Xenopus tropicalis: one gene and its partners. The protein of the gene in region 6 purifies or fractionates together with the protein of the main gene of each other region. This does not show direct contact. Links are inferred from orthologs where the notes say so. Each region holds a gene or a part of one and is shown on either strand. Other genes may lie near its edges. The genes, in order: dnaja1, txndc9, dnajb11, hax1, bag2, tuba1a and dnajb6.

Evidence for each region.
Region 1: the proteins of tuba1a (region 6) and dnaja1 purify together in Homo sapiens (affinity purification with mass spectrometry; 3 studies listed by BioGRID and IntAct, with this or other methods). This does not show direct contact. The link is inferred for Xenopus tropicalis from reciprocal best matches to the Homo sapiens genes TUBA1A and DNAJA1.
Region 2: the proteins of tuba1a (region 6) and txndc9 purify together in Homo sapiens (affinity purification with mass spectrometry; 3 studies listed by BioGRID and IntAct, counting the BioPlex papers as one, with this or other methods). This does not show direct contact. The link is inferred for Xenopus tropicalis from reciprocal best matches to the Homo sapiens genes TUBA1A and TXNDC9.
Region 3: the proteins of tuba1a (region 6) and dnajb11 purify together in Homo sapiens (affinity purification with mass spectrometry; 3 studies listed by BioGRID and IntAct, counting the BioPlex papers as one, with this or other methods). This does not show direct contact. The link is inferred for Xenopus tropicalis from reciprocal best matches to the Homo sapiens genes TUBA1A and DNAJB11.
Region 4: the proteins of tuba1a (region 6) and hax1 purify together in Homo sapiens (affinity purification with mass spectrometry; 3 studies listed by BioGRID and IntAct, with this or other methods). This does not show direct contact. The link is inferred for Xenopus tropicalis from reciprocal best matches to the Homo sapiens genes TUBA1A and HAX1.
Region 5: the proteins of tuba1a (region 6) and bag2 purify together in Homo sapiens (affinity purification with mass spectrometry; 4 studies listed by BioGRID and IntAct, with this or other methods). This does not show direct contact. The link is inferred for Xenopus tropicalis from reciprocal best matches to the Homo sapiens genes TUBA1A and BAG2.
Region 7: the proteins of tuba1a (region 6) and dnajb6 purify together in Homo sapiens (pull-down; 3 studies listed by BioGRID and IntAct, with this or other methods). This does not show direct contact. The link is inferred for Xenopus tropicalis from reciprocal best matches to the Homo sapiens genes TUBA1A and DNAJB6.

The regions. Positions count from the first base shown.
Region 1 is NC_030677.2:94,448,240-94,451,739, forward strand, and holds part of dnaja1 (dnaJ homolog subfamily A member 1), read right to left. Parts: intron 3,129-3,500; 5' UTR 3,093-3,128; coding exon 2,961-3,092; intron 2,490-2,960; coding exon 2,309-2,489; intron 1,501-2,308; coding exon 1,396-1,500; intron 1,035-1,395; coding exon 807-1,034; intron 1-806.
Region 2 is NC_030678.2:112,718,293-112,721,792, reverse strand, and holds part of txndc9 (thioredoxin domain-containing protein 9), read right to left. Parts: intron 3,191-3,500; 5' UTR 3,174-3,190; coding exon 2,985-3,173; intron 1-2,984. UniProt on the Homo sapiens protein: Significantly diminishes the chaperonin TCP1 complex ATPase activity, thus negatively impacts protein folding, including that of actin or tubulin.
Region 3 is NC_030685.2:43,617,859-43,621,358, forward strand, and holds part of dnajb11 (dnaJ homolog subfamily B member 11), read right to left. Parts: intron 2,112-3,500; coding exon 1,952-2,111; intron 1-1,951. UniProt on the Homo sapiens protein: As a co-chaperone for HSPA5 it is required for proper folding, trafficking or degradation of proteins.
Region 4 is NC_030684.2:143,242,656-143,246,785, reverse strand, and holds the start of hax1 (HCLS1-associated protein X-1), read left to right. Parts: upstream 1-1,330; 5' UTR 1,331-1,424; coding exon 1,425-1,474; intron 1,475-2,207; exon of another isoform or gene 2,208-2,279; coding exon of another isoform or gene 2,280-2,317; intron 2,318-2,444; coding exon 2,445-2,671; intron 2,672-4,130. UniProt on the Homo sapiens protein: Recruits the Arp2/3 complex to the cell cortex and regulates reorganization of the cortical actin cytoskeleton via its interaction with KCNC3 and the Arp2/3 complex. Slows down the rate of inactivation of KCNC3 channels. Promotes GNA13-mediated cell migration.
Region 5 is NC_030681.2:95,344,876-95,349,037, reverse strand, and holds the start of bag2 (BAG family molecular chaperone regulator 2), read right to left. Parts: upstream 2,801-4,162; 5' UTR 2,685-2,800; coding exon 2,557-2,684; intron 1-2,556. UniProt on the Homo sapiens protein: Co-chaperone for HSP70 and HSC70 chaperone proteins. Acts as a nucleotide-exchange factor (NEF) promoting the release of ADP from the HSP70 and HSC70 proteins thereby triggering client/substrate protein release.
Region 6 is NC_030678.2:136,579,030-136,583,144, forward strand, and holds the start of tuba1a (tubulin alpha-1A chain), read right to left. Parts: upstream 2,801-4,115; 5' UTR 2,682-2,800; coding exon 2,679-2,681; intron 859-2,678; coding exon 636-858; intron 1-635. UniProt on the Homo sapiens protein: Tubulin is the major constituent of microtubules, a cylinder consisting of laterally associated linear protofilaments composed of alpha- and beta-tubulin heterodimers.
Region 7 is NC_030682.2:17,674,951-17,679,247, reverse strand, and holds the start of dnajb6 (dnaJ homolog subfamily B member 6), read right to left. Parts: upstream 2,801-4,297; 5' UTR 2,788-2,800; coding exon 2,723-2,787; intron 2,303-2,722; coding exon 2,193-2,302; intron 1,011-2,192; coding exon 954-1,010; intron 592-953; coding exon 481-591; intron 356-480; coding exon 224-355; intron 1-223. UniProt on the Homo sapiens protein: Has a stimulatory effect on the ATPase activity of HSP70 in a dose-dependent and time-dependent manner and hence acts as a co-chaperone of HSP70. Plays an indispensable role in the organization of KRT8/KRT18 filaments.

The DNA of each region.
Region 1 (3,500 bases), on a different chromosome or scaffold from region 6:
AGAAAAACAGAAAATGAAATGAACATGCATTATACAAATGTGCTTAAAAATAGCTGAATAGGCCAATATCTTAAAAAGTACACCAAAATGAAAATTCTCATCTGCCATTTATTTCTTTTGCCATTAACCATGCTATATTTTGCAACAATCTGGCCTATATTATTCAGTGAGACCTTAGAGATACATATTTAAGACACAGAGATAAATATTTATGACCTACCTTAAAGTCTTTGAAATAAAACCGCACCAATTTAAAAAATTTTTTTTTTGCTTTCCATAGCATGGCAATAAATTAGTTAACACAGCCCATTAATTTCTACGTTGCCTGTTTCTACTGCACCACACTAATCCATTAAACACAGTTGCGACGCAACAAGCAGCATTTCATTTGCATCTGGCATTTTAATGCAGTGTAGTGGGTACAATAAAAAATGAATGGAATGCATGTTAAACCACCCATGTGCAAGAGCCCTAAACCAAACAAACATGACAGTGTAGCGGACACTGTATATTTGACTAAAGTCCCATTAGAGTGTTCTCTCAAACAGACACTCAGTGAAGCATCTCATATTTATCATGTGATGTCACAGGGTCTTATCTACATCCACTATTAAAAGCTGCCAAGACCCATGATATTACCCTATTTTTTTTTTTTTTTTTTAAGAAAGTATTATTTGAAAATGTAAACTGCTTAATACACAAATTACCTTACAGTAGGAAAACACATAGCAAACAGTGCAGTTATTGTGCCTAGGTTGACCTTTATGATGGCTAATCAATAGCATTTCATTATGAGAGACACATACCCTTGTCAATATGAACTTCAAGAATCTTCTTCTCTCGGACTATCTTTCGCCCATTGCAGCTCTTACACCGGTCCTTTGGATTGATCCTCTCTCCTTGTCCTTGACACTCTGGGCATACTGACTGTATCTGCTGAACCATTCCAGGTCCTAACTGGTGGATTCTAATCTGCATGCCAGTGCCCCTACAATTTGGACAGCATTCTACAGCCCCTTTTTTACCTCCACGACCTAAAATAAAAAAATAAAAAGGTGAATTATTAACAGACGCATATATTTGCTGGTCCTTATTTATCAGAACGTTACATCAAAGTGCACGTTTTACGCTGATGTATTAGTATAAACAACTGGTCAAATTAGTGTACCAAATCAATAAAATTTGGATTCAGTCAAATCCTCTACAAAAAACTGGACTAAATACCGCATCCAAACCAATCTGAATAATGACATTTTAGAGATTTAAAGAATGTATTGTTTTGGCTGAAAACTTAAGAGTCAGCCTGATCCAGTGCATTAACAATTAATATCAAATGATCAAACTTAAACTTAAATTGAAAATAAATGTAACATTTAAATAAATTGAATTACAAACCTTCACACTTATCACAGATAGTATTCTTCTGCACAGCAAGTTTTCTTGTGGCACCATTATACAAATCTTCAAGGGATACAGATAACTGATGAACTACGTTTTTACCTGCAAACAAATATTTAGCTTAAGTTAACATTCATTACTGATATTTAAGAACAATTTTAACAAAGTATTTTGGACTAGGCCTTGTGCAAATGGACAGCCACTTTAGGTTATCATGTCTACCGGACTTTGCTCAGACAGAAGAGTCTTGGCTGCAATGCAATATAACAGAGCATTAATAAAAAAGGGGCATACTGTATATACTCGAGTATAAGCCTAGTGTTTCAGCACCCAAAATGTGCTGAAAAAGTCACCCTCGGTTTATACTCGAGTCGGGTGCCATGGGCCCCTCCAGACTAGCACCCTCTCTCCTTTATGTGCAAATTAGGCCTCCCACAACCAGACCCTCCAGTGCCCTGGCCTAGGCTCCCACTAGCAATACTTATTTCCCCTTACATCACCTCCGGGACTGGGTCTGCTGCCAGTTTGCCAATGTGCAATGAGCGTGGGGTAGTACTCATATTGTTTTTGTTGACCCTCTTCTCCGCTTACAGAGCTAGTTTACTGTTTTTCTTTGAAATAAATATTGAAATACATATACCCCACTGATGCCTCAATTAATGTAATTTTATTGGTATTTATTTTGATTATTAAAACTTAGCAGTAGCTGCTGCATTTCCCACCCTAGGCTTATACTTGAGTCAATGCGTTTTTCCAGTTTTCTTAGGTAAAATTAGGTACCTCGGCTTATATTCGGATCGGCTTATACTCGAGTATATACGGTATATTTAAATTTCTAACAAAACAGACAGAACAGGGAAAATGGACCTAAATGTGTGAAACTGTTAGAGGCAAGGGGTATTACTATTACCTCTTCTCTCTCGTTGCATTCTTCCACCGCCACCAAAAAACATGTCAAAGATATCCATTGGTGATGCAAAACCGCCACCTCCCATGCCTCCCTCTTTAATTGCCTGTTCACCGCCTTTATCATACAAGTCTCTTTTCTTGGAATCAGAGAGCACTTCATAAGCCTGGGAAATCTGTTTGAACTGTAGAGAAAATACATTTTAAATCACGACTCAAATGCAGCATTTGTATGCTACTTGGGACTTTCCAAGGGCTCTTCATGGGTATAACTGATAAGCAAAAGAAGCTATAGTTAAAGATGGTGTATCATACTTAATAGATATTAAGTGTCCCTCTAAGATTAGGGCCACATGGGCCAAACATGGCCTTATCAAATATTGTCTGCTCGAGCTAGAGAAAAAAGTATCATGTCTTTTAAAACTTTTTCCCATTCAACAAAAAGTGTGATATTCAGTTTGTTGACATCAGTCAACAAATGACTCAAACCACTGGGAACATATTTGAAATTTGATTACCCAGAACCAAGTGATATAAGATTAACTTACACCTTAATTTAATTCCTGCATGTGCAGGATCTGTATCACCATACTGAAGAAATATGTTAGTATATTAAGCACTTTCTATAAAACTGCTGCACTATATTATAAACATACCTTTTCACCTTCATTGGGATTCTTGTCTGGGTGATACTTGAGGGCAAGTTTCCTATAAGCCTTTTTCAGCTCATCCGGAGTGGAATTTGGCTTAACTCCCAATATATCATAGTATGCAGTTTCTACCACCATTTTCAGTGTGGCTGGTAGTGGCAGATTTCCTTAAACCTAAGTTATGAGGAAAAGATTGTTATTTAAAGACTAAATATTTAATACATGTAAACATGTGTATTATACTACACACAGTTACCATCATCTTCTTCATCTTCCTTCCACCTCCAGTGCCCTGAAGGGCAACATCCCACACTAGTTCAATACAATCATATATTTTATAACTAAATGCAATGAACTGAATTCAAGGCAAGGTGGAAGAAAATAGCAGGGGTGACGCAAGATGTACTAATGTAAAAGTGGTTTCATGTTATTGACTCCATTAAATCAGCAGTTTCCCCACTTCTCTTTTGCAAACAATGACTGGTGGTAAAACAAATTACCAGTCCACTGTAAGACCCCTGTATAATAACCTGCTCCTAACCTCAA
Region 2 (3,500 bases), about 24 Mb from region 6:
TCCTGCTGGCTGAATTCTCTGGATGAGCTGGGGAGCCGACGGCCCCGTACCCTGCACTGTAGGATTAGAACCAATCAGCAGCTAGGCTAACCATAGGAACTGAAGCTGTCTTTGCTTGTGAGAACAGAGGGCATGTGACCAAGTGCTATGCCAAATCTACTGTGCTTCTGACCAGGATTAAAATAACCACCTGTTAAGAGACCGTCACCCGCTAAAACTCTTCTTTTCAAATCACAGACCAATGATAGATTTATACACATCCAACCATAAGCATAAGGGCACATGTTTACAGATATGCTTGAGCCTCTAAGTTAGGCATAAGTGCAACAGACCGGATACTTTAGCTTCCATATCAGCACTACAAGTCATTACATTTTTTTCCCATTTCCCTCCAATATGTCTAGCCTTGCAAGACCTGGACTGTCACCAGACATAAACAAGATTATAATAAAAGTGCCTTATAACAATTAAAACGAACTGCCAAATGCTTGCTTTGATTAAGTAATTCCAAACGGAATAAAAGGCATTTAAAAATCACAGCTGTCAATAATATACTGCTTGCCCCGCCTCTATGCCTTAGGGTGACAGGTCCCCTTTAAGGCCACTGGGCGCAACATGTTGCTCCTGAGCCACTTTGGTTGGGGATCACTGGCTTTAAAATGTCTCCTAATAACTGTATACCAAGAAACTGCAAGTTTGTGTTTCCTGCCTAGCCCAAATTGTTCATTTTCAATCTTCATGCAGGACACACTGTGTTCCAGGAAACAAATAGGAAAATGCAGTAAACAACATGGTCCCAGCAGCTGAATAATACAACCGAGTGTCCAACCTAATAAGAAGGGAAACAGTCTTAACCACCAATTCACATTTGAAGAAACATTAAGTGGAGTGCCCCCAGTTGGATAACTGTCACTGAAACAAGCTGCAAAACTAAACCTTAGGAAGACAAGTACATATAATTGGGCTTTATACTCCTAAGTACACAGGTCTGTAGCAGAGTGAAGGGCTATAAGATGACCAGCCGGGCCCTAGATTTTAAACCTTGTCAGTCAGTTTGTCTTGGAATGACTGCCTGTGTGATCTATGCTCTCTCTTTCCATATCAAACTAACCAGACAAGTTTTTTTTTTCCCAAAGGTGTTTATTTATTCATTTGTAACATAAAACAACATAAAACATTGACATTGGTTCTACAAGCGTGTTCTTTTCATGCCAGGATATAAGCAGTACATTGGTTTAGATAATCAATAATGTTCTACTCGAGTGTTCAGATTCCTGTTGAAGAAGGGGAGGATTTGGGATTACCAGTGGAGGTTCAAATTCCCAGGGAGGACCATGTGGCATTATTCCATGGCTTCAACCCATGTTCCCCATACCTTGTCATACTTTTGAGGACATCCTCTTGCTATGTAGTTGAGTTGTATCAGTGGCAGAAGGGCTTTAAGTAGATTGAGCCAGCTGGCAATTGTTGGGGGAGAGTGTGCCATCCATTGAAAGAGGATAGTTTTCCTGGCATAAAACAGTAATGTTCTATAGAGGATGCGCAATGCTGATTTGGGAGTAATGTCATCCACAATGCCTTGGGATTGAGTATTTTAGGTAGGGATGTTGTGTTTTGGATATGGTTTAGGACCTGGTTCCAAAAGTGATGTATTTGTGGGCAAGACCACATTAAGTGAAAGTAGTTGGCCTCTGGTGCACATTTAGGGCACTGAGACGAGTTGCGGATTCCCATACGATATAGTCGTAACAGGGTCAGATGGAGCCTGTGTATGATTTTGAACTGGATTAACCTGTCTCTTGTAGAGATCAGATAGTCATAGGCCCTGTCTGTCGCTTCCTCCCAATCTTCACTGTCCAGCTCTGGTATGTCTTGGCAGCAGGCTTTTTGAGCTGTGAGAAAGGGAGATTGGAGGGTGGAGAGGAGCAGGGAGTATAGTGTGGTGATCAGCTTTTTGGAGGAGGGGTTTCAGAGGGTAGTTTCAAGCTTAGTGAGCACAAAGGGAACTATGGTTCTTTGGAATTGGTGTCGGAAGGCCTGTTGGAGTTGTAAGTATGAGAGCCAGGGTAACAGCTCTCCTGTGTCTGTATGTCTAATCTGGTTTCTAGGTAACAGGGCACCAGCATTGGTCACATCTCCCAGTGTACGTATGCCCCAGTGAGGCCACACTCGGTATGGGGTAATTTGTTGGAAATTGGGTAAGTAGGAGTTTCCCCACAATGGCAGGCCCGGGGATAGGATTGGAGATTTCAGTTTGTATAAGTTTAGTGTCGTTTGCCATGCTTTGTAGGGTGTCAGGATGACTGGGTGATTGGTTTGGATATCTGATTATTAACGAAATGGGATATATTTTAATGACATTGGGGTTGGTAAGATCAGGAGAGAACCACCATTGTACATAGTAAACCTGTGCAGCTAGGAAGTAAAATTGCCAGTGTGGAAGGCCTAGGCCGCCTTCTGTAATTGGTGCTCTAAGCTTGGCTTTCCCAATTGATTTTCAAACCGGAGAAGTACCCAAAATGTTTCAGTATGCGTAAAACTGACTGTAGTGAGGCACCAGGGGAGTCAAAATACAATAAGACATCGTCAGCATATAAGGATATACATTCCTCCACAGCCCCTAATTTGAGACCTGTTATGGCTGGATAGAGAGAATTCTGGGGATAAATGTCTGTTTACATTGACTCTTGCTGTTGGTGAACCAGCCAAGTTTTAACCCTGACAAGAGGTTTCTGAATCTGCTGTATTTTTGTGCTATACTGCTAATGAAAGCTGCTTTTCCTTTCAAACTGTATGGTGAAGAAAAAAACTGCATTTAAATTCTGCATACTGCTGCTGTCTGCAAGAAAATACTTTTTTTATAAAGGACATTTAGTGTCCTGACATACTTGCTCTGCCAGTACTTACCACAAGGTCCAATAAAATAAACAGTGGAGTTGTATTATATAGTATTATTTAGAATTAGTTGTATTATAGAGACTTACTTGTTTTTGCTGCTGTGCCTTCTTCAGAGCTTCAAGTCTTCTTTCTTTCAGACGATCCATTTCATCTTCATCTATTTTGTCAAGTTTCTCCAGTTCAGCATCTAACTGCTCCTCCATTATTTTGGCAGTCTGAAGAAGCTGATTCTCCATGACTTTTGCAAATATATCTACAGATGTGTCAGCTGCCATTTTAGTATAGGTCTGAACTGCCAATAAGGAAAAAAAGGTATGGTTGAGTGGACACATATACAATATATCTGGCTGCTGCTGTTCCGTGCTGTGACACATATAAATACATTATAGCATATACTCTGTACTAGGGAAGGCAACCTTCACAATTACAGTTCAAGCATTTAAAATGGTTTTAAATTATAATTACAAAAACAGAGAGCATGATAGTTACCTCAAAAAGGTAACAGGAACAATAGTACCCTGTTTGAGAATTATAAATACTGTAAAGTATTGGCAGCAAAGTTTAAAAATGGGTGCGAATAAAGATGAGGCCTAGGTGACGTC
Region 3 (3,500 bases), on a different chromosome or scaffold from region 6:
ATAGGGAGACTTAAGGGCACTATTGAGACAACTGAAGGTATGCCTGCAGCTTGAGATTAACTCTTTATTAGCCTTTCCTTCTCATTAAAATAAACAGGACACATCTGCAAACAGTACATTTCAGTGGCCTAGCTGTCCAGTCTTCTCAGTGATGGTTTTCCTGTAAGGGCCTTCTTAGGGTTTAGGAAGCTGTTTCAGGCACATCTTGCATGATGTCATGTGCGCTATGAAGAGTGCTGCGTTGAAAGTGCCACCAGCCATCGGCTTGAATTGACGTCACTAGAAGTTACAGGAAATGCTACCACTTACTGAATAGCATTGTGTGGTACCGTAGCCCTGGAAATTCCGGCATTACTTGTCATGTACAATGTACTGCTCAGTTATATCCCTGCAGGATAACAAGCTGTGCAAAAAGTTGCACTCTGCTTGTACAATGAAAGTTTCCAGTTTTATTGTCATATACAAATAACAATGAAGCATCATTACTATAATGAAATTATTTTGACCCGTGTTCCTCCCAACTTTACATAGACAAAAAAAAATAAAAAAATACAAATATTAAATATAATAAAAGTGTGCAATAAAGGTACAAGTATTTACAATAAAAAAATGCAATGAAATATTTGAAATTGTGCAGTGAGGATTTAAAGTGGCTTTGCTTAAAGTGACACTGCAAAGAGTCCAGTAGTTATGGGGAGTGTGTGTTAGGCAGAAAGGTATATCTGGATCTGCCCCAAAGAAGCATGGCCTTAACATTCGGATTGGTTGCCTAATAAAAAGCATAACAAAATCTGCCTCACATCCAATTTACTAGTTAGAGCTGCATTACTGCAATAAACGAAAAAAGGCTTCCAAGCACTCCAAACCTTCCAAATTAAAACAGCATCTTTATTAGTCCATTAAAATGTGAACGCCTAAGTGAGCTGCATTACTGAAACCAGTTGGGTGATTCATTGCAGTAGGGCTGCACCCTCTGATTCTCAGTAACCTAACTAATATTAAACATGTTACAGCCTCATGTGAGTTCTGCTTGCTAGATTGTTTCAAATAAGGAGGGAAATAAATTGTTCAGACAATCAGCATAACCTCCCAAGATCTAAAATTACATTTTCTATGAAAGGTAGTATCTGTCCTCTACCTTCTAGACAGGACAAAAGAGAAAACTGAACTCAGTAGGCAGAGTACAACCTTATACAGAAGGAGGACTCCTCTTTGATTCTTCCGTCTTGACTCCAAAGGTCAAGGAATACTAACATCTGAAGGGCCACTCAAAAAAAAAAAATTAAAAACAGGCAATTTAAAAAGATATATTAAAAATGTATTAGTTATTTATTAATATTGTCCCCAATATCCCCCAGTCTAACTTGGGCTATCAAGTAGACAAATTCGGTGAAATTAAAAACAAAAAAAAAAGACAAAATATAATGTGGTCATTTTTGAAAGAGTGACTGCAATTTGAAAGAGGTGGCCTCTAGACAAAGGCTTCAAAATGGTAAATGGCTCTATCCTCTGCATTGTTTTGTTTCTGTTCTGAAGCTAAATGATCAATAGTCAGTTACTAGCTGAATAGTCGAGCTCTGTAAACAGTAGCTTGAATATTAGTCAAGGGCAATCTGCCCAAATAAAATTCCTAATAGCCATTTAAAACTATGCAATTCCGTAATCTTTTGGAAGCTATGCAAGAACTCCTAGTAAAATTATTACTCCTACAAAAGCACACACATTTTTGGAAATTCTTATACATACTTATATCATTTTAGCATTATAGGCTAAAATATGTTTAGTATACTGTAAGAATAAATTAATATGAAATTCATTACTAGAGTCTAAATTTTCCAGTGTAAATAAAAAGAAAATACAAAACAGACTGTAATGTGCATTTATGATAAATCCCACATTTGTTTATTCAAAAATCACTAGCAAAGGCAGAAAATAAAGAAAAAAAAAATACCTTGTCGTTGCTCCATCGTTAGCTGTTCTTTTGGGAATTCAACATCAAATGTTATAATTAAAGAACCTTTTATGTTGTTATTGTCAAAGTTTGGCAAACCTTCCCCTTTTTTCCACAATTTTGCTCCTGGCTTAGTAATTTTATCCCGCAATATGTGAACCTGTAAATAAAATAAAAGGCTTAATTTTTTTTTAAAATATAGTTTTTTCCTATAACAAAGATAGGAATAACTTCTGTGTTGCACTAAACCTTCTTAGTGTGCTAGTGCAATAATTTTCTGGTTTATATTTCCATTATATTATTGCTGGCATAAGACTGATATTACACTAGGAAATAGATGGTCATTCTTGAGGTAAAAAAGTACAAAGTGTCAAAGTCTTTTTGTACTGAAAAAGTGTTACACTTGATTTCATAATTTATTTTTATTTAACCTTTTCATTGCCAGCTAATTTATGGACATTTGCAATTAATGGCAACTAATTTTGTGCCTTTAAACTTAGCTTAAACTTAGTAGCGTTTCCTGGGACTTTACTAAGGAAGATACCTGAAATTTTGTGAAATTCAACTTAGTATTTTGCACAATTCCACTTATATATTTAAAAATTAAAAATGACAATTTAAAATATACATAAAATAAATATAAATATATCAGAAACACTTTATTATATGAATGAAAATATAACAAGTGCTCTCTCAAGCAAGCCAATATCAAATATGTTATGAATATTCAAACCAACAAAATTTGATAAAGTTAGCTGTTTCGAATTCTATTTTTTAAAGTTTGACACCAGTTATATGTATTACAAGTTTATACAAAAAATTTAATTGTAGGTGTTATATATGTCCATTTATAATTAGCATAATTTATTTGCATAATTTATTACCATTTTTAAAAAAAATAGTGTTCAAATGTATAATGGCTAATGCCTCTGATGAAGCAAAGGGGCCTAACAGAGGAGAGAAGAGTGAGATATGCGTGTGTTCCCTTAACTTGTGTAAGTAAAACGGATTGCATTTGGGGTAGGTGGGAGCTATCGGTGCTTTGCTATAAGTGGTTTCTATTTAGGTGCAACAAAGCTAACTTATATCTAAGAAGATTGTGTAAGGAGATATGCATATGTTAACACAGAACGCTCTAAGAATAAATTAGCATGGGGTAGCCGCTTCCTCCTACTTCATGATTATGAGCATAATCTTTACTTGCATCAGAGAAGAGGAAAAAGCTGTGTATCAGAGTGCATCCACATTTAAAACTTGGTTGAATTAGAATTCCTCTAGTAATGAAATTCTATGATTCCCAAATAATTACATTTAATGTTATCATGTGATACCGTTTCATTTTTATAGCCACTTTCAATATATACGTTACTATGTACATGTTGCAGTCTCCCCAGTTCAACTATAATCACGCAATGACAAGAGTCATAAATATCAAACACCAAAGACAAAGAGCAGATTAGCAATTTTAGAAATATGAAGTATTATGCAAAGAGTAAAGAAAAATGTTATGGTAATCTAAACAGTAAATACATGGCAATCCTCATTTGGT
Region 4 (4,130 bases), on a different chromosome or scaffold from region 6:
TCCCCTTGGTTGGGAATGAGATGTTGGGCAAGCAGGTGTAGGGGATAATTGTGCCCATATACTGTATATGTGAGCGGTACTTTCCTTATCTGTAGCTACAATCACATAATACCTTCCAAAACCCTGACTGGCTTTTGGAAATGGAGAGGTTGATTTATATAGTGGCTGTAGCTACACGGGGACAGAAGGGTTAATCTATCCTGGCTCCCTAAATGAATTGCCTATTAACAAGCTATTAATAAATGGCTGCTGGGTGCTTGGTTTGCCAGTCCTGCCTCCATCTTGCCCCAGGAGGGGCCCCAGCTGCCAGCCACTCCCACTATTGGGCACCAGTGTTGTACCCTGTGTGTGTGCTAGGGAAATGATGGACCGGACTGGGCCGCCGGGACACTGGGAAGAATCTGAGCCTTGCTGGTGCTCCCCCTGCCCGACTGTTCCTCCCCTGATGCATTAAATGTACACACTCAGGGGGGGCCCTGCTAGGGGGGTTAGGGGGGGCCCTGCTAGGGGGGTTGGTAGTAGTAGAAGTGTTAGTAGGAAGGGCAGCCACTGGGGACCATTAGGGGCCAAACACAAGTTAAACACTTAGGGCCCCAGTTCTGTATTACATTTTGGTTTTCAGAGGCCCAGCAAAGACTGAGCCCCCTACTTACCCCCTCTAACCCACCCCCCAATGGCTGCCCCGGCAATAGGAAAATAGGCACAGTTCTCCGAGGTCCTTGCCGTGGAACGTTCTCTGCTGCTCAAGTACTCCTCCTTGGCGGTAGGTGGATCTTGGCTACAAAAGGAGATAAACTGCCATTAGGAAGTGTGTTGCTGCCACTGTAACCCCTGCCCCTGTAACCCCTGCCCTGCCCCTGTAACCCCTGCCCCTGTAACCATTGCCCTGCCCCTGTAACCCCTGCCCTGCTCCTGTAACCCCTGCCCCTGTAACCCCTGCCTGGGAAGTGCCCTGCAGTAATGCCTTAATTACCCCTAATTATCCTTAATTAATTATCCTTAGCCCCCTCCCCTGATCCCTGTCACTTCTATTAAACACACACAGGGGGCAGTTAGTGCCCAGGGCTCATATATGATGAAATCCAACGGCCTTAGCCTGGTAGTTTAGTCTTATCTCTCCAATAGAAATGGAAGGAATCTTGTACAGTTCATCAGTATAAGCGGAGCATTTAATTTCCATGTTACTTTCCCTTTAATAGGAATCGCTCACTAGTTACACAAGCCCCGCCTCTATACTGAGCGTCATCAGCGGAGAGCAGCGGCAGTGGCTGAGGAATGGGGGGGCGTGTCCCACAGGAGCCAGAGCGGAGGGCGGAAGAGCTTCTAGTTCTAAGCCTGGATCCGGACGGAAGTGGGGCGGTAGCGGTGCCGGAAGTGGGGCAGGGTGAGAAAGTTCCAGCTGCTGGATGAGGTGACAGGGGGACATGAGCCTGTTTGAGCTGTTCAGGAGGTTCTTTGAGCCGGGAGGGATCAGGTAATGGCGCCCCTAGAGCAAGGACTGGGGTTCCGTGTGTATGTGCGGGTATATTCCCGTATATATATATAGCTCTGCCCCCAGGGCTGCTACATAGGGATACCATGGGGGGGGCGGGCTGGCCGCAGGGGCTGCTGGGAATGTTCAGCAGTAGTTGGGCTTTTGGTTGATAGTTGCAGTTGAACAGCAGTGATATCTGTTGGGTTTGGCTGAGAGTGGGATGCTGGGAATTCTGGGAGATGCACCCCAATATCTGGGGGTCCCTAATGGCCAATCACTTCACTTATTCCTCTTATACAGAAATGTCACAGTAAATGCAGACTTATATATATATATTTACTTGTATTATTGGCATTCTGGGTCCGGTGCGACTCCCCCCACCCTGCGGCCATATATGGCTTGAGTGACAGCCCCCTGTTCAGCCAGCACCTCCCCCCTGCTGAGAAGCCCCGCCCCTACTTCCCAAGGCCAGGGAGTAGCCACACCCCCCAGCTCCCCTACTCCCAGGGGGCAATGTGCTCAATGTCAAGACAAATTGGGGGTCCTGAGTTCACCCTCAGTTTCAGCCATGTATGGGGGTACAGTAACGGGGGGGTACAGTAACGGGGGGGGTACAGTAACGGGGGGTACAGTAACAGGGGGGTACAGTAAGGGGGGTACAGTAAGGGGGGTACAGTAACGGGGGTACAGTAACAGGGGGGTACAGAAACAGGGGGGTACAGGGTTCCTCCCTCCCCAACTGCCCCATCTCAGCTCATTCCAACTCTCTAGTTTGGCTGCTGATTGATCATAGCACTAGTGTAGCATGAGAGAAATACCAACAACATGCATACAAATTAAAGGGTAAGTTAACAGCTGTGCAGAAAAATACCTAGATTTATATGGGGAGAAGGGGCTAGAGCTGTGCCTATAAGGTTCCAACTGAATGGCTCCCCTCTCTGCCCCCTTCTAATGCCCCATGTTGTTCCAGAGACCCGTTCTTCGGCGGGATGACCTACGATGAAGACGACGACGATGATGATGATGAGGAAGATGCAGACATTGGTCATCCCTTTGGTCGGCCTCCTGGTTTCAACTTTGGATTCTCGTTTGGACCCGGACGTGACCCGATGGCCGACGTCTTCGGTTTCGAAGAATTCTTCAGGGATTTCAACGAGCTTTTTGCAGATTTCGGATCAATGACTCGAGTGGTTCCTGGTAATTTTGGGTCAGAACCTCTGTGCGGGGCAGGTGTAACTGCCATAGGGGGGCACAACATTCCTTAGGGAGGGGGCAACAAGGGTAACCATCTTGGGGGGGAACCTCAGTATGTGGGATCTACTGGATCAACAGAATATTAATATCTGGGGTACAAATGGGTGCAACTGGGGTACAGCTGAGATCTGGGAGTAGGATTGGAGGCATCAGAAGTCATTGGCACAACCGTGTTCTTATTTCCCCTTTATTATATTCCTATAGATCTGCTCACAGCTGGGTAACTAGGAGTAACATGTTCTTATTTCCCCTTTATTATATTCCTATAGATCTGCTCACAGCTGGATAACTAGGAGTAACATGTTCTTATTTCCCCTTTATTATATTCCTATAGATCTGCTCACAGCTGGGTAACTAGGAGTAACATTCTTATTTCCCCTTTATTATATTCCTATAGATCTGCTCACAGCTGGGTAACTAGGAGTAACGTTCTTATTTCCCCTTTATTATATTCCTATAGATCTGCTCACAGCTGGGTAACTAGGAGTAACGTTCTTATTTCCCCTTTATTATATTCCTATAGATCTGCTCACAGCTGGGTAACTAGGAGTAACGTTCTTATTTCCCCTTTATTATATTCCTATAGATCTGCTCACAGCTGGGTAACTAGGAGTAACGTTCTTATTTCCCCTTTATTATATTCCTATAGATCTGCTCACAGCTGGGTAACTAGGAGTAACATGTTCTTATTTCCCCTTTATTATATTCCTATAGATCTGCTCACAGCTGGGTAACTAGGAGTAACGTTCTTATCTCCCCTTTATTATATTCCTATAGATCTGCTCACAGCTGGGTAACTAGGAGTAACATGTTCTTATTTCCCCTTTATTATATTCCTATAGATCTGCTCACAGCTGGGTAACTAGGAGTAACATGTTCTTATTTCCCCTTTATTATATTCCTATAGATCTGCTCACAGCTGGATAACTAGGAGTAACGTTCTTATTTCCCCTTTATTATATTCCTATAGATCTGCTCACAGCTGGGTAACTAGGAGTAACATGTTCTTATTTCCCCTTTATTATATTCCTATAGATCTGCTCACAGCTGGGTAACTAGGAGTAACATGTTCTTATTTCCCCTTTATTATATTCCTATTGATCTGCTTACAGCTGGGTAACTAGGAGTAACGTTCTTATTTCCCCTTTATTATATTCCTATAGATCTGCTCACAGCTGGGTAACTAGGAGTAACGTTCTTATTTCCCCTTTATTATATTCCTATAGATCTGCTCACAGCTGGGTAACTAGGAGTAAGGTTCTTATTTCCCCTTTATTATATTCCTATAGATCTGCTCACAGCTGGGTAACTAGGAGTAACATGTTCTTATTTCCCCTTTATTATGTTCCTATAGATCTGCTCACAGCTGGATAACTAGGAGTAACATGTTCTTATTTCCCCT
Region 5 (4,162 bases), on a different chromosome or scaffold from region 6:
TCGTTAGTGCTTCCCTCTGGCCTGCTACATCTCACCCTTTACTGGTTTCATGTTAGAGGATTATTGCATAGAATTATGCTAGGAATGGAGATAAGGAAGGTTGCTGCCAAACAATTAAAGGCAAACATGAGGGAAATAGTTATGTTTTAGCTCTATTTTCATTACAATCTAAGTTTTAGTTGGTCTTTACAGTTTAAAGTTTTGCTCCTGCTTATTGTTTCAATTACAAAATGGAAAAAATGTTCATGGATCACTCCTCTGAAAGACCCTCTCCCTTATTTGTGTGAGAACAATCAGCACAAACGTGGGGAAGGTCTAATCATACAGAGTTTGTACACAAACAGTACACATCCTATTCAGCCATGGCAGCTATGTGATGTGGATTGATTCCCACTGACATGAAAATTAAGTTCCACATTACACATTTACTGCCAATTACTGTGCAAAAACGTGTACCAAATTAGCCTTAGGTTGGTGCTACATTCTGCAAGATAGTGCTGAGGATTAGAGCTCAGGGTAATAATATACAGGTGCCTTCTGTGACTTGTGGGGACTTTTTAATTAATGAGAACAGCTATGGGTGTTTCAGATGTGGAAATAGCCTGCATGTGTCATTACACTGTGTGCCATAGCCTGTGGTCATCTGTTTAAAGTTGCATCAGAAGTGGCACAGAAATACAGAAGTGCAACCTCATCATGTAAAAAAACTGCATGCATGTTTGCTCAATAATAAATATCACTTGGGTTGAAAATACATTGTGTATTGTTTTAATTTAAAAAATCCATATTTTCCTAATTCTTTCCTACTATAAAGTACTAATGGAAAATTATGTTTTCTTCCTCTTGTAAATAGGGTAATTATTTTAAATGGAGATAGAGGTTTTTTTTTTTAAATCCTTCATAAGCTGCAGCCTAATTATAAGTAGCAGTTCAATATGCTAGTAATTTGTTCTACTATTTACTTCTTCTCAAACAGTCTCATAAGCCCAGTGTATTGGGGTTAACTACAACCCAGAGCTGAGGCAAGTAGTGCCTCCCTTTAGTTCCAACTGATAGTCTACTGTCTAGCCAGTCTACTGGCTTAAACACTGAAACTTACATTCAAATATAAGGGTATTTTTTTTGAGGTACACTACCCACTTAAATTATACTAAAATGCACCTTGCTCCCTATAACTATAGATCAACTAAAGACCCAAACTATCTATAACTTTGGTATTTGTTATTAGAGGGATGTTTTCCAAAAAGCAGTGGTGTAACTATAGAAGAAGCAAACCCCATGATTGTGACCTACTTATTAGCGAGCAGCGGGGAACGGGGGACGCAGTGCCAACTGGACCCCTCTATGTAGTGCAGTGACTAGGGGTGTACCTACCAACATGTTTGCATCTGGAAATTCAGTCCCAGAATCCATCACTGAATGAGGTAATGGAGGGGTTGCCTTGGTAAATGGTTCTTACAAATAACATAGCTTCCCTTTCAATCTGTAGAATCAGTGAGATTAACCTGTGACATTACTTTTACAAACTATATAACTGCAGCCACTCAACATTTAACCACCTGGCCCAGTTGGGTACCTAGCAAAAATGTAGTGTATAACCAGGGCTGCTGGCAACACATGACTGTCTGTGCAGGGCACTGCAGACTGTGAGTGTCCATCAGTAGTTTATTGTCCTCTGCTCACAGCAACTTGAAATGGGAAAAAATGTATATCCTGCTGATTTGCCAACAATACCTGCCTCCACAAAGCCTCTGCTTCCAATATTAAAAGTAATTTTCTTAACTCACCATAGCTATTTATTGTGTCAGGTAAGGGATAATTCACTTTTATTCCTGATGAGTTGCCAGCTATACCTACTGCCACCACAGCCTCCTGCCTTCTGTCCACAATATTTCACCAAAAGTGCAATCAATCTTTTTTTTCTATTCTAAGAGCTCCTACTTGCGCCAGGAAACAATACACACTTTATTCCTGGTGATTTGTCCCTGGCCAATATTTGACCAAAAGAATGCATAATCTTTTTTTCTCAGCTCAGAGCTCCAACTTGTGCTGGGAAACAAAAAAATATGCCTACTTTCTGGTAAGTTTCCTACAGTATCCAGAGCCACCAAAGCCACTGTTCAGTTGGGTTATATATATATATATATATATATATATATATATATATATATATATATATATATATATATATATATATATATATATATATTACACAAATATATGGCATTCCACAGACTGTAGAAAACTATTTTCCTACAAAATAGGAACAAAACAAAGGCTAGGCCAAAAGTACTGTAAAGATATATCGACCCTGGAGCGCAGAATATAGTTTTGCTGCCATATGACTTTGTAACAAGTTGACTTTTGCTTATGCTTTTCAGTCAGGCTTTCCCTCAGTAGTGCATATATATTGGGCAGGACTGGGAGATGTTATACTGTATGTATCCATAGGGAACACGTGTAGTCAGGCACCACAGGGCAGGGCAGCAGGCAGAGCGCACAGTAAGGGCATACACAGGGTACATATTATAGACATCATTCTGCTCGCTTCCTTACCTGACTTCCAGATCGTCCAAAATCTCTAACAGGTGGTTGGATCGAGCTGCCATAGAGACAGAGCGGCAGAACTTGCCTGCATTGTGCCCTTCGGTGGCTGCCTTTGCCTGGATTTTAGCCTGAGCCATAATAGCTTGCGGACTCTCCCTTCCACAGAAAAAGCACAACTGAGCAACAGAGGACAGTGAAATGCTTAGATCTTTCTAGACATCTCTCCCTCCTCCTCCTGCACTCTCACCGGGATAGAACAGCAGGATAGTGTAACATTGCCTAACATGGGCTTGGGCGGCTCCCGGCCCTGCACTAACTGTCAGCTGCTTCACTTCCCTGCCCCCAGCTGCAGCTCAGCTGCCTAAGGGACTGATTTTATGGGGCTTTGGGGGTCTCGAACTTCCCTAACCTGCTTTCCCTGTTGTTTATAAACTGTGCTTACACCCCTCCAGATGTTCAATCACTCATTCTCTGCTGCTGATCATATATATAATATAATGTACCTACTCTCATTCAACTGTTCATTCACTCACTCTACTGCAGATACACTGCCTGTTCTGCTCATATTTACACTGTACACTCAAACCATTCATTTCATTTATAGCCTACTGTATGGGTCCTCCCCAACCAAGGGACAGAGCCTGCTTATATTAAGGGTGAAGACACACTGGGCTACTAGTAGCAGATATTTTTTCTCAGCTACTAATCTCCAGAAAATACCCTGCCATAGACAATACTGAAAATTGCCTCTGCTAAAACACACGTAGAGACGGTTATCAGTAAATGGTCAGCATTGTCTTTTAGTAGCCAGAATGATGATATTGTACGAAACCTCATATGGGAGGGGGGTTATGTGAGTCGCAAACACGCATGTGCATGGGGAATAGAGATGTAGCGAACTGTTCGCCGGCGAACTAATTCGCGCGAACATCGGGTGTTCGCAAGTCCGCAAATTCGCGAACTTTTCGTGATGTTCACAATTTGGGTTCGCTGGCACCGAAAAAATCGCAAAACTTACAATAACGTTACGAATGCTCCGAAAAAGTCGCAAAACTTACGATAACGTTACGACTGCTCCGAAAAAGTCGCAAAACTTACGATAACGTTACGAATGCTCCGAAAAAGTCGCAAAACTTACGATAACGTTACGAATGCTCCGAAAAAGTCGCAAAACTTACGATAACGTTACGAATGCTCCGAAAAAGTCGCAAAACTTACGATAACTTTACGAAAGCGCCGGAAATTACGAAAAAGTCGCAAAATTACCGATCATTTCGAAAAACGGCGTGTGTCAATTTTTCAGAGAAGTTTTTGCCCTTGATCCCCCTCCTGCATGCCACTGTCCAGGTCGTGGCACCCTTTAAACAACTTTAAAATCAGTTTTCTGGCCAGAAATGGCTTTTCTAGGTTTTAAAGTTCGCCTTCCCATTGAAGTCTATGGGGTTCGCAAAGTTCGCGAACAGGTTCGCAAACTTTTTTTTTGAGGTTCGCTACATCCCTAATGGGGAATTTAGGGCCACCCCACCGCACTGAAAATCAGCTGCAACTCCGGCCATTGCAAGCTTCACTGGTATTTTTTTCTTATTAAGGGTAATGGTACATGGGAAGATTATCA
Region 6 (4,115 bases):
TTGTTTCTTATCATGAGATTACTTTCTTGTTAAATGCAAATTAACTAGCCATTAGATGGTATTTCTTAACCTTTTTGTGGACAGGACCCAGATTCACTCCACACTTCCTTTTTATTTCTATTTCAAGGATTTATTATTTATTCCCTTTCAACAGCAAGGGGCCCAGTTCTGGGTAACAGCCCATAGGCCAAAAACCATTGCATATGTTTGCATAAAATAGGCCAATTTATGGGCAATGGGCAAATTTGGTCCTTGGTGGTAACCCAAAGCAACTAGACAGATATTTGATTTTATTGTTCTACCTGTATCTGGTTGAACAATGCTAATCACTAATTGGTTGCTGTGAGTTTTTACCCAGGTGCAAATTTGCCCAGTGTTGGTAAATGAACTTCAGGGTTACAAATAACTCCTCAATAAATCATAAGCTGCTTAGTAATAAATCAAATCCCAAATACACAGAAAGGAATATCATTTAACCTAGGTAATTATAATTCACATTTCAGAAAGACATGTTCACTATATTCTGTAATATACACTCATTGATTGAATAGTAGTATAAAAGGGTTAATTTAAACTCCTGTTTCCTCCATTCAGTGATCAAGACAAAGACCCATAGCTTTGTGTTGTTTTCTCACCAATGACAGTGGGTTCCAAGTCTACAAAGACAGCCCTGGGGACATGCTTTCCTGCTCCAGTTTCACTGAAAAAGGTGTTGAAGGAGTCGTCCCCTCCTCCAATGGTCTTGTCACTGGGCATCTGCCCATCAGGTTGGATGCCATGTTCCAGACAATACAGTTCCCAGCAGGCATTGCCGATCTGCACACCAGCCTGGCCAACGTGTATAGAGATGCACTCACGCTGTAAGAAAAGACAATTTAATTTTTAATGCGTGAGACTTGACTTCTCTTCCATAGTGTATTGCAGTTATGACTAATGCTAAATTATATTGCTTACTTCAATCACTAAAGCACAAAGTCAGTGCTTTATCCTGATAATAACTGCTTATAAAACAGCGCATGTCGGATCCCCTAGCAGTGCCACACCCACCGCTCGCTGCAGCACAAAGAATCAGACAGCCCCTTGGGAAAGCCATGTCAGTGATGTACGCCTCAAAATGAAGGAATTAACCTTTAAACCATTCTGCAGCTTTTTTTTTTATCAATAATGAATAATTCCATCTCATTCTGTCATACTGCAGCAAGGTTAGCAGGAGGCGCTGTGGGTGTTGCCACCCATTTGCATTATTAGACATTTCTCTCCCCTTCCTCCTCGTCTTGTACATTAGACATGGTGATTTTATTATTTCATTGCCAGTTCCCCTGCCCTCATTTGTCACAGGGTGCTGGGAGTTGTAGTTTAAAGTGGATATAAACCATAGCATAAATTTTCCTCTAATTAAACAGCATAACAACAACACTGCAACCTTCCAATATACCTTAATAACACATTTCTGGTGGTTTTGAAGTTCTTTGTAAATGTAACTGCAATTGAGAGCAGTGTCTGTCTGTCTCTTTCTCTTTACAATGGTGATTCTGATTTTTAAAACACGGCAACCCAAGCAACTGAATAACAGACCTGTGAAAAAGCAGGCAAGGATGGCTAACGCTACCTTGCTTCAACAAACAGAACCAGCAGGGACCAACAAAAGCTGCTTTCAATTAGCAATTACTTTTGGAAACACTGAGCAAATGCAAATATTGAATGAATACAGTATAGTTTTAAGAAATATACTCGATATGGAACATATCTGTTGTAAGAGAGTACTACAACATGCCAACAACATAATATACTTTTCCTTTAAAAATGGGCACAGCCACGTCTGTGCGACTGTAAAACAATGCCTCGCTGCCGACTGTCTCTAGCTTTATGATTTGCTTTTGCCAGGAAAATGTGAGTGCAGCTATGCTGGAATGAATGTGCTTTTACATGAGCAGAGAGATCCTTGCAGTCTGCGTGCTCAGGGCGTGGTATTGCGACCCTTCCAATAGGCACTTACACAGCCCAGCTATCTCATTGGGATTTTAACCCCTTTCATTGTCCAAAAGGGAATAATAATGGGATGGTTGGGGCTGAATAAATCCTATCCCTTTGTTATTCAGTCTATGTTACTTATTATTAATCCAGTGAATCTCTTGCTGACTACATGGCAAGCACTAACCCATTCCATCCCCATCACAAGTTCCAATACCCATGGCAATTATTGCACAGATAAAGGAATGGCCAAACAATAAGGGCTCATAGGGAAAGCGAGCCTCCATCTCACAAGGCAGCATACAGGGAGCGCAGAATAAAGCCATTGTTAGGCATCTGACTCCCACTGGCCATCACCCTATTAACCCTTTCCCTATCACTTGTGCAATTGTAGTTCACTGCAAGCAGATTGTCAGTCATTACTCTAAATGGCACAGTACATAAAGGAATCAAAAGTCGATATCATATACACAGCACAGAATATATGCATTTTCCTTGGGTTCATTCTGATAAAACTATAAGCACAGGAGCCCGGTGTGGCAATAAGAACATATAATGTCTCTGTATAGAACAAAGGCTATTGTTCCAGGAGCATCTAATGACAGGCCATTATCCATCCCAAGCACACACCCGAGTCCCCCTGTGCCTGCCCCCCAGCCCTTATCCAGCCCCCCAGCCCGTATCCAGCCCCCCACTCCTGCTCTTACCATGTTTGCTGCTTTGGGGCTGCAGAGAGGAGAGAAAGAGGAAGGAGAAGAAGGGTGCTTTCTTACAGCGCGACTCTAAGGGGGTCGATGTAAGAGAACCTGCAACACATGGTCCAACGCAGCCCCTTATATACATCCCCGTTGTCATGGAGACCCAGACAGGCATTTCCTTATTGGACCCGACGCTTTCGACTCCCTTCTAGCTCCGGCAGCTGAGGAATGTGATTGGCTGCTGCTGCATGGGATGAGGTAATCAGCCCTACCCAGCTATCAAGGGGCTGCACGGAATCTGGGAGACAAAGAGAATCCATCAACTCATCCCGGAATGTACCGGCCGCCGGTATTCCCTGGGTCCCCTTGGCTTTATACTCCCAAGGCACAAGCATAGCAGAAGTAAGGGCACCTAGTATGTAAGCCTTAACTGCCTTCATGTATATGAATATGGCATCCCATTACAGAGAATGTTAAGTCACATCAGTCTGTGCTGCAGCTGAGCTTACAATCTAACTGACCTACCCTGGGGCTGGGCCTGCACCCTCAGAAGGCTATTAACCTATCAGAATGCTATTAGCCTGGGGTAGGAAAGCTGAGCACCTGTTTGCATTGTGCCACTGCATTTGGTACCCACACAGGAATCCCTCCCATGGACTCAGCTGACTGTATATATTTAGATAGATTTTTGTTTCCAACTACTGGGTTTAATTATACCATATCTGGGCAAAAGCAATGCCCAGGTATATAAATATACCTTACAAGTATATAAATAGAAGGAGACCCCCAGTTCTGAATGGTAATATTAAGCAACACACATATGTTACAATAAGTTGCACCCCTGCCAGATAGGGAAGGTGACAGAGACAGTGGCAGAGTCAAGAGATGAAAGTGCTGGCACTGGTTATAATGTCAATGCCTGAAATATATCCTTAGGGCAGTGATTGGCTTGGGGCTTTTGGCTTCTTTCCCCATATTTGCAGGAAAAAGGCATTACAATATATTTTCAAATAATAATTGCCTAAAGTGATTTCAGGAGAAAACCTTGTGGAAATAATCCTTTACTGGTATTTCCTCTCCATTCACATAACCTGCAATGGGTGCTTTCTTTTTAGTAAGCAAGAAGCGAGGAAGGCAACATGGCAGAAACCACCCCCATCATACCCCCAAGGTTTCTTCAAGAACCAAAAAAATACACTTCTTGCTTAGCATTTACCATAAGAGCAAATAATTACCATTCTTATAAATGATGCTATTTTTGTCCCTTTGTTAATCCTGCCCTAAATTCTCAGTGGGATTAAGTACATCAAAATCTTAGCTGTATGTGTTATGAATGTGACATATTCAGGGCTGCCATCAGGGTAGGACTGAACTCCTCTGCCAAAGGGGTGAGATGTCATGCCAAAGGGCAGAGTCCTGGGAATCGGGTTGGGTTTTGAGCAGGTA
Region 7 (4,297 bases), on a different chromosome or scaffold from region 6:
AAAGCTCTGCCTTTTAGGGCTATGGTAGCCATGATGCAAATTTTAAAGATAAATAACGGTAATGGGTAATTTTTCGTTCTTGGAACCTTAAAAAAATGGCATCAGTAGCAGGAATGTTAAATCAAGACACACATAAAACATTTGCAGATGTCTGTGCATTCATTTATCCCTTCATTGGACAAAAACTTGAGTGTGCAGATAAAGGAGTATTGCATCTCTGTACCCGAGTCAAATGGAGAGAAGGTAGGACCAAAGGCAGGGAAACCTCCAAACGTAGAGAGAAAGGAACCCCCTGGCCTGCTTCTGTTTGCTCTGTGGCCTCTTCTGCCAAAGAAGTCATCAAATGGATCGTCAGCTGGAAGAGAAACAGGATATAAATTACTCCCTGACACCAGTAATATAATAATACCTGTAACATTACAATCCTTAACCCGGCAGAAACATCTAAGATTAAAGAAAATACAAATATGTGCACTATACCAAATAAATCAAATGAAAATGGGTCTCTTCCCCCAAAGAAATCCCTGAAAACATCGTCTGGGCTTCGGAATGTAAATCCAAACTCATATGGATTATCAAAGTGACTGCCGCCTAAAATAAAAATAAGAAAGAACCTAATTAGCTTGAAAGATAGAAAAACGGCATTAGTTGTTCTTAATATAAAAGGTAATCAAATACAATTAAGGTTGCACATAGTACAGGGATATAGAAGCATGGAATATTGTGGTCTCAAGGAATTTCTGTGGCAATCTGATAGAACTCTTCGCACTGTGTAATTAGGCTTGGACTGCAAGAAAAGGCTGCACACTGTAGCTGGGTCTCAAGTGGCAATTAAATAGAGCACATTAGGGTCTCTAGCCAACTAGACGGCCCTGAAATGGATCTAAGTTGCATGGAAGCATAAATGAGGTATAAATATAGCGTTAAAAGTTTAAAATGAAACTAGCACTTACCTCCACCACCTGTCAATCCTTCTTTTCCATATTTATCATAAATATCCCTCTTTTTAGCTATAAGGGAAAGAAACAAACAAATATAAATAAATAAAATACAAGCCGTTTAGTCTAAGTGGAGTTAGCAAATCATTTCAGGATACAATTTCACACAGTCTCTCTCTGAGGCAGAACATTGTTGTGATGTATTTGTGTGTCTCCCCAGCAGCTGGGGACAGACACGGCTATAAATAAGCAATGCATTCCAACACACGAGGGCCAGGCTCAAAAGTGCCTCGCCGCGTCCCACCAGCCTCAACCAAACAAAACAACAGATCAGTCTAACCTGCTTACTGGACTAAGACAAAGCAGGAAGTGGTGTACTTCTCCTTTAAATAGGCTGCAAAAGCCGCTCTGACACTTTCTCCAAGCAGTATGACGGCTTAGCTACTAACATGACGTTTGTTATCTAAGTTTTATACCAGTGGCCAGCACCTTATTATGAGTGTAATACCCACAACAATATAGAAAACAAATTAACAAAGGATCCTTCAATAATCTACTTTTACCGTAAACCCCTTTTCAGCAGAAAGGGCATAATGACCATTTTTTTTAAAGAAGAAATGTAGGATAAGTGAAATCCCCCCTCAATCTTTTAGGCAATTATGAATAATATATGGTGCTTAATTCTATCTGTGGCCCCTTTATTGGAGCTCCTTATAGATCCTCTCAGGTCCCTGCCGGTGTTTCAAATAAAAGGTGGGTGTGTCCTAATCGTCCCTGGAGGAAGCACAGCCAACCACAGCCCTGCAGTCACACAAGCAAAGGCAGGGTTTAATTCTGGTTCCTATCCTACAATGCAGTGTGCCGAGTGCCGCCGGCCCCCCTGCACAGCCTGGGAAAGGAGGCAGCAGGGAGTGGAACAGATGGGCGGGACTAGTGGGGTTTTTGGAGAAATTTTCAATAAATCCACCTGAAACACAACTTTTTAAAGTACATTCCTTCTGTATTTAGAGGAGCATAATGCACTACCACATTCTTGTTTTTTACACAATATGTCTCCTTTAAATTCATTAGCTCAGTCAGTGATTAGTATGCTTAAGCCAAGCCTAATTATAAATATTGATAGGATCTATCACTCGTGTCAGCTGAATAACGATCATGCCATATATGAAAACAAACTCCTTGGGCAAATCGGGCGCCTAGTAAGGAAACAATTACAAGCCAAGGAAGTTGGAAGAGTCTTGGGAAGATACTTACAATCTGACAGGACCTCATAAGCTTCAGCAACTTCTTTGAACCTCCTCTCGGCTTCATCTTTATTGTCGGGGTTCTTGTCTGGGTGCCACTTTAAGGCTAGCTTGCGGTATCTGGAATACAAGTTGATTGAGAATAGGGTTTAGTAATTGGTATTGAAATGCAACATTAAATGCAACTTTCAAACTGCAAATAAGGTTCCGCCACACAGGGTGTTCCATATCTTTCCTCTAATTAATCCTTTCCCAGCCATGTTCTCTCATGCCTTTTATGTGCCTCCTCATCATCGTCATCATCATCAATCCCTCCTGAGTGGAAACCCCCATCAGCCTGTGTATGGAGCTGTCACACAATGGCCCAGTCATATCCTCAGCGTCAATTTAGAGAAATGGAGGGCACTCCTGGCTAAAATATCCTTGCCAAAAAAAATTTTATATACAAAAAAAACAAAGTATAAAGTATCCAGGTGCTATGGTTTTAATAATCCCCCCATAAGAGTGGATATCCTCAGCGTCAAACCAGGGAATACTTACGCTTTCTTAATATCTTCTGGAGAGGCGTTCCTCTGGACTCCCAGGACATCGTAATACTCCACCATGGCTCAGTAATGTGATGTAAAGCCTGGAAAGAATTCATAATGGCATTGAGATGACAAATTCAAATGCAAGCGGAATATGATAAGAGGTAGGTAAATCAATTAGAGAGTCAGGAACACATTGCAAAGATAAAGGTACTATTAATGCAAGAGTATCACAACATTTCCATTTTTTATTATTCTGTTGAACCCAAGCCTAAGGCCAGTGGCACATGTATCGCTGAAATATGCCAGTCAAAAATGGCCAGATACATCTCTGTGCCACCTGTTATGTAGATGAATGGAAACGGTTTGTCCCCAGCAGTGACAGGTAGTTTCCATTCATCTAAATGGCATGACGTTTCTCCACCAGATAAAATACTTTGGCTAATACTTTCTAAAACTCGCCAAGCAAGCATATCTTCTCCCGATATCCCCACCTATGGGTGGGCAATATTGGGCCAATTTGGTCGTTTGGCCCTGGGGCCAATCGATCAAATTAGAACGGCAGGTATAGGCGCCATCGGATTGGGGACAGCATCAACGAGCTGATGCTGTCCCTGATCCAACGGAAAAATCAAACCTGCCCAAGCGAGATCTGCCCGATTTCAGGGCAGATATCGTTGGGGCAGGCCCATCGTTTGTGTCCACACATGGGCAGATAAGCTGCCGAACTGGTCTAAAGGGCCAATATTAAAGAAAGCAAAAAGTATCTCCACACTCAAAACCAATAAGTAAAAAATGAAATTTATTCAATACGAAAAACACATCATAGCAAGTATAGTCAAACGCATTTCAACCCATCAAGGGTCTTCATCAGGGGTAAAAATTTTAAAAAGATATTGGCAGCTAGAATCGGCCCGTGTATGGCCACCTTAAGTGTCCAAAGCTTACAAATGTTAACCTGAAAATCTGTTAACTGTTACTAGTTATCTTGTTTACCCTTTTAATTTGGCTCCCTAGGAGAGCCTCTCAGTCAAAGCACTGGAATATTACACCAGGTGCTAAATCGCAGGGAGCACAATGGAGGAGCAGTGGGCAGAGGGGCAGCCTGAGACATAATTATGGTGAGATTTAGGCTAATTGCCCATTAATTGTTCTGGACAGCCCAAGACATAGAACTAGTAAGCAAACTTGATTACGCTGTCAATTGTCATGACAATTTACAGAATGGAAATTTGGAAACAAAAATTGAATATATTAAAAATTTAAAAATCCTGTTTTTTTATAAGGTGTTCGGACAGTAGATGTCATAACTGTATGTAAAGCAAAGCAGCTGTAGAAAAGTAGAAACAATGGCTCTCTTAGCAGTGATGGTAAAAGCAAGCCCTCCAGCTGCTGATGAGATATAACTATCTATTCTTGTCCTAACCCATTTCTGAAAAATTTAAAGGGGAACTCCACCCAAGCACAATATAATTTCAAGCAACTTTGCAATATAGATCAATTAAAAATATGCAGTGTTTTCATGATTTGTTATGTAATAATGTTTTTAACAGTTCCCTAAGCCCCGCCTCCTGTTCCCCTGCTGATC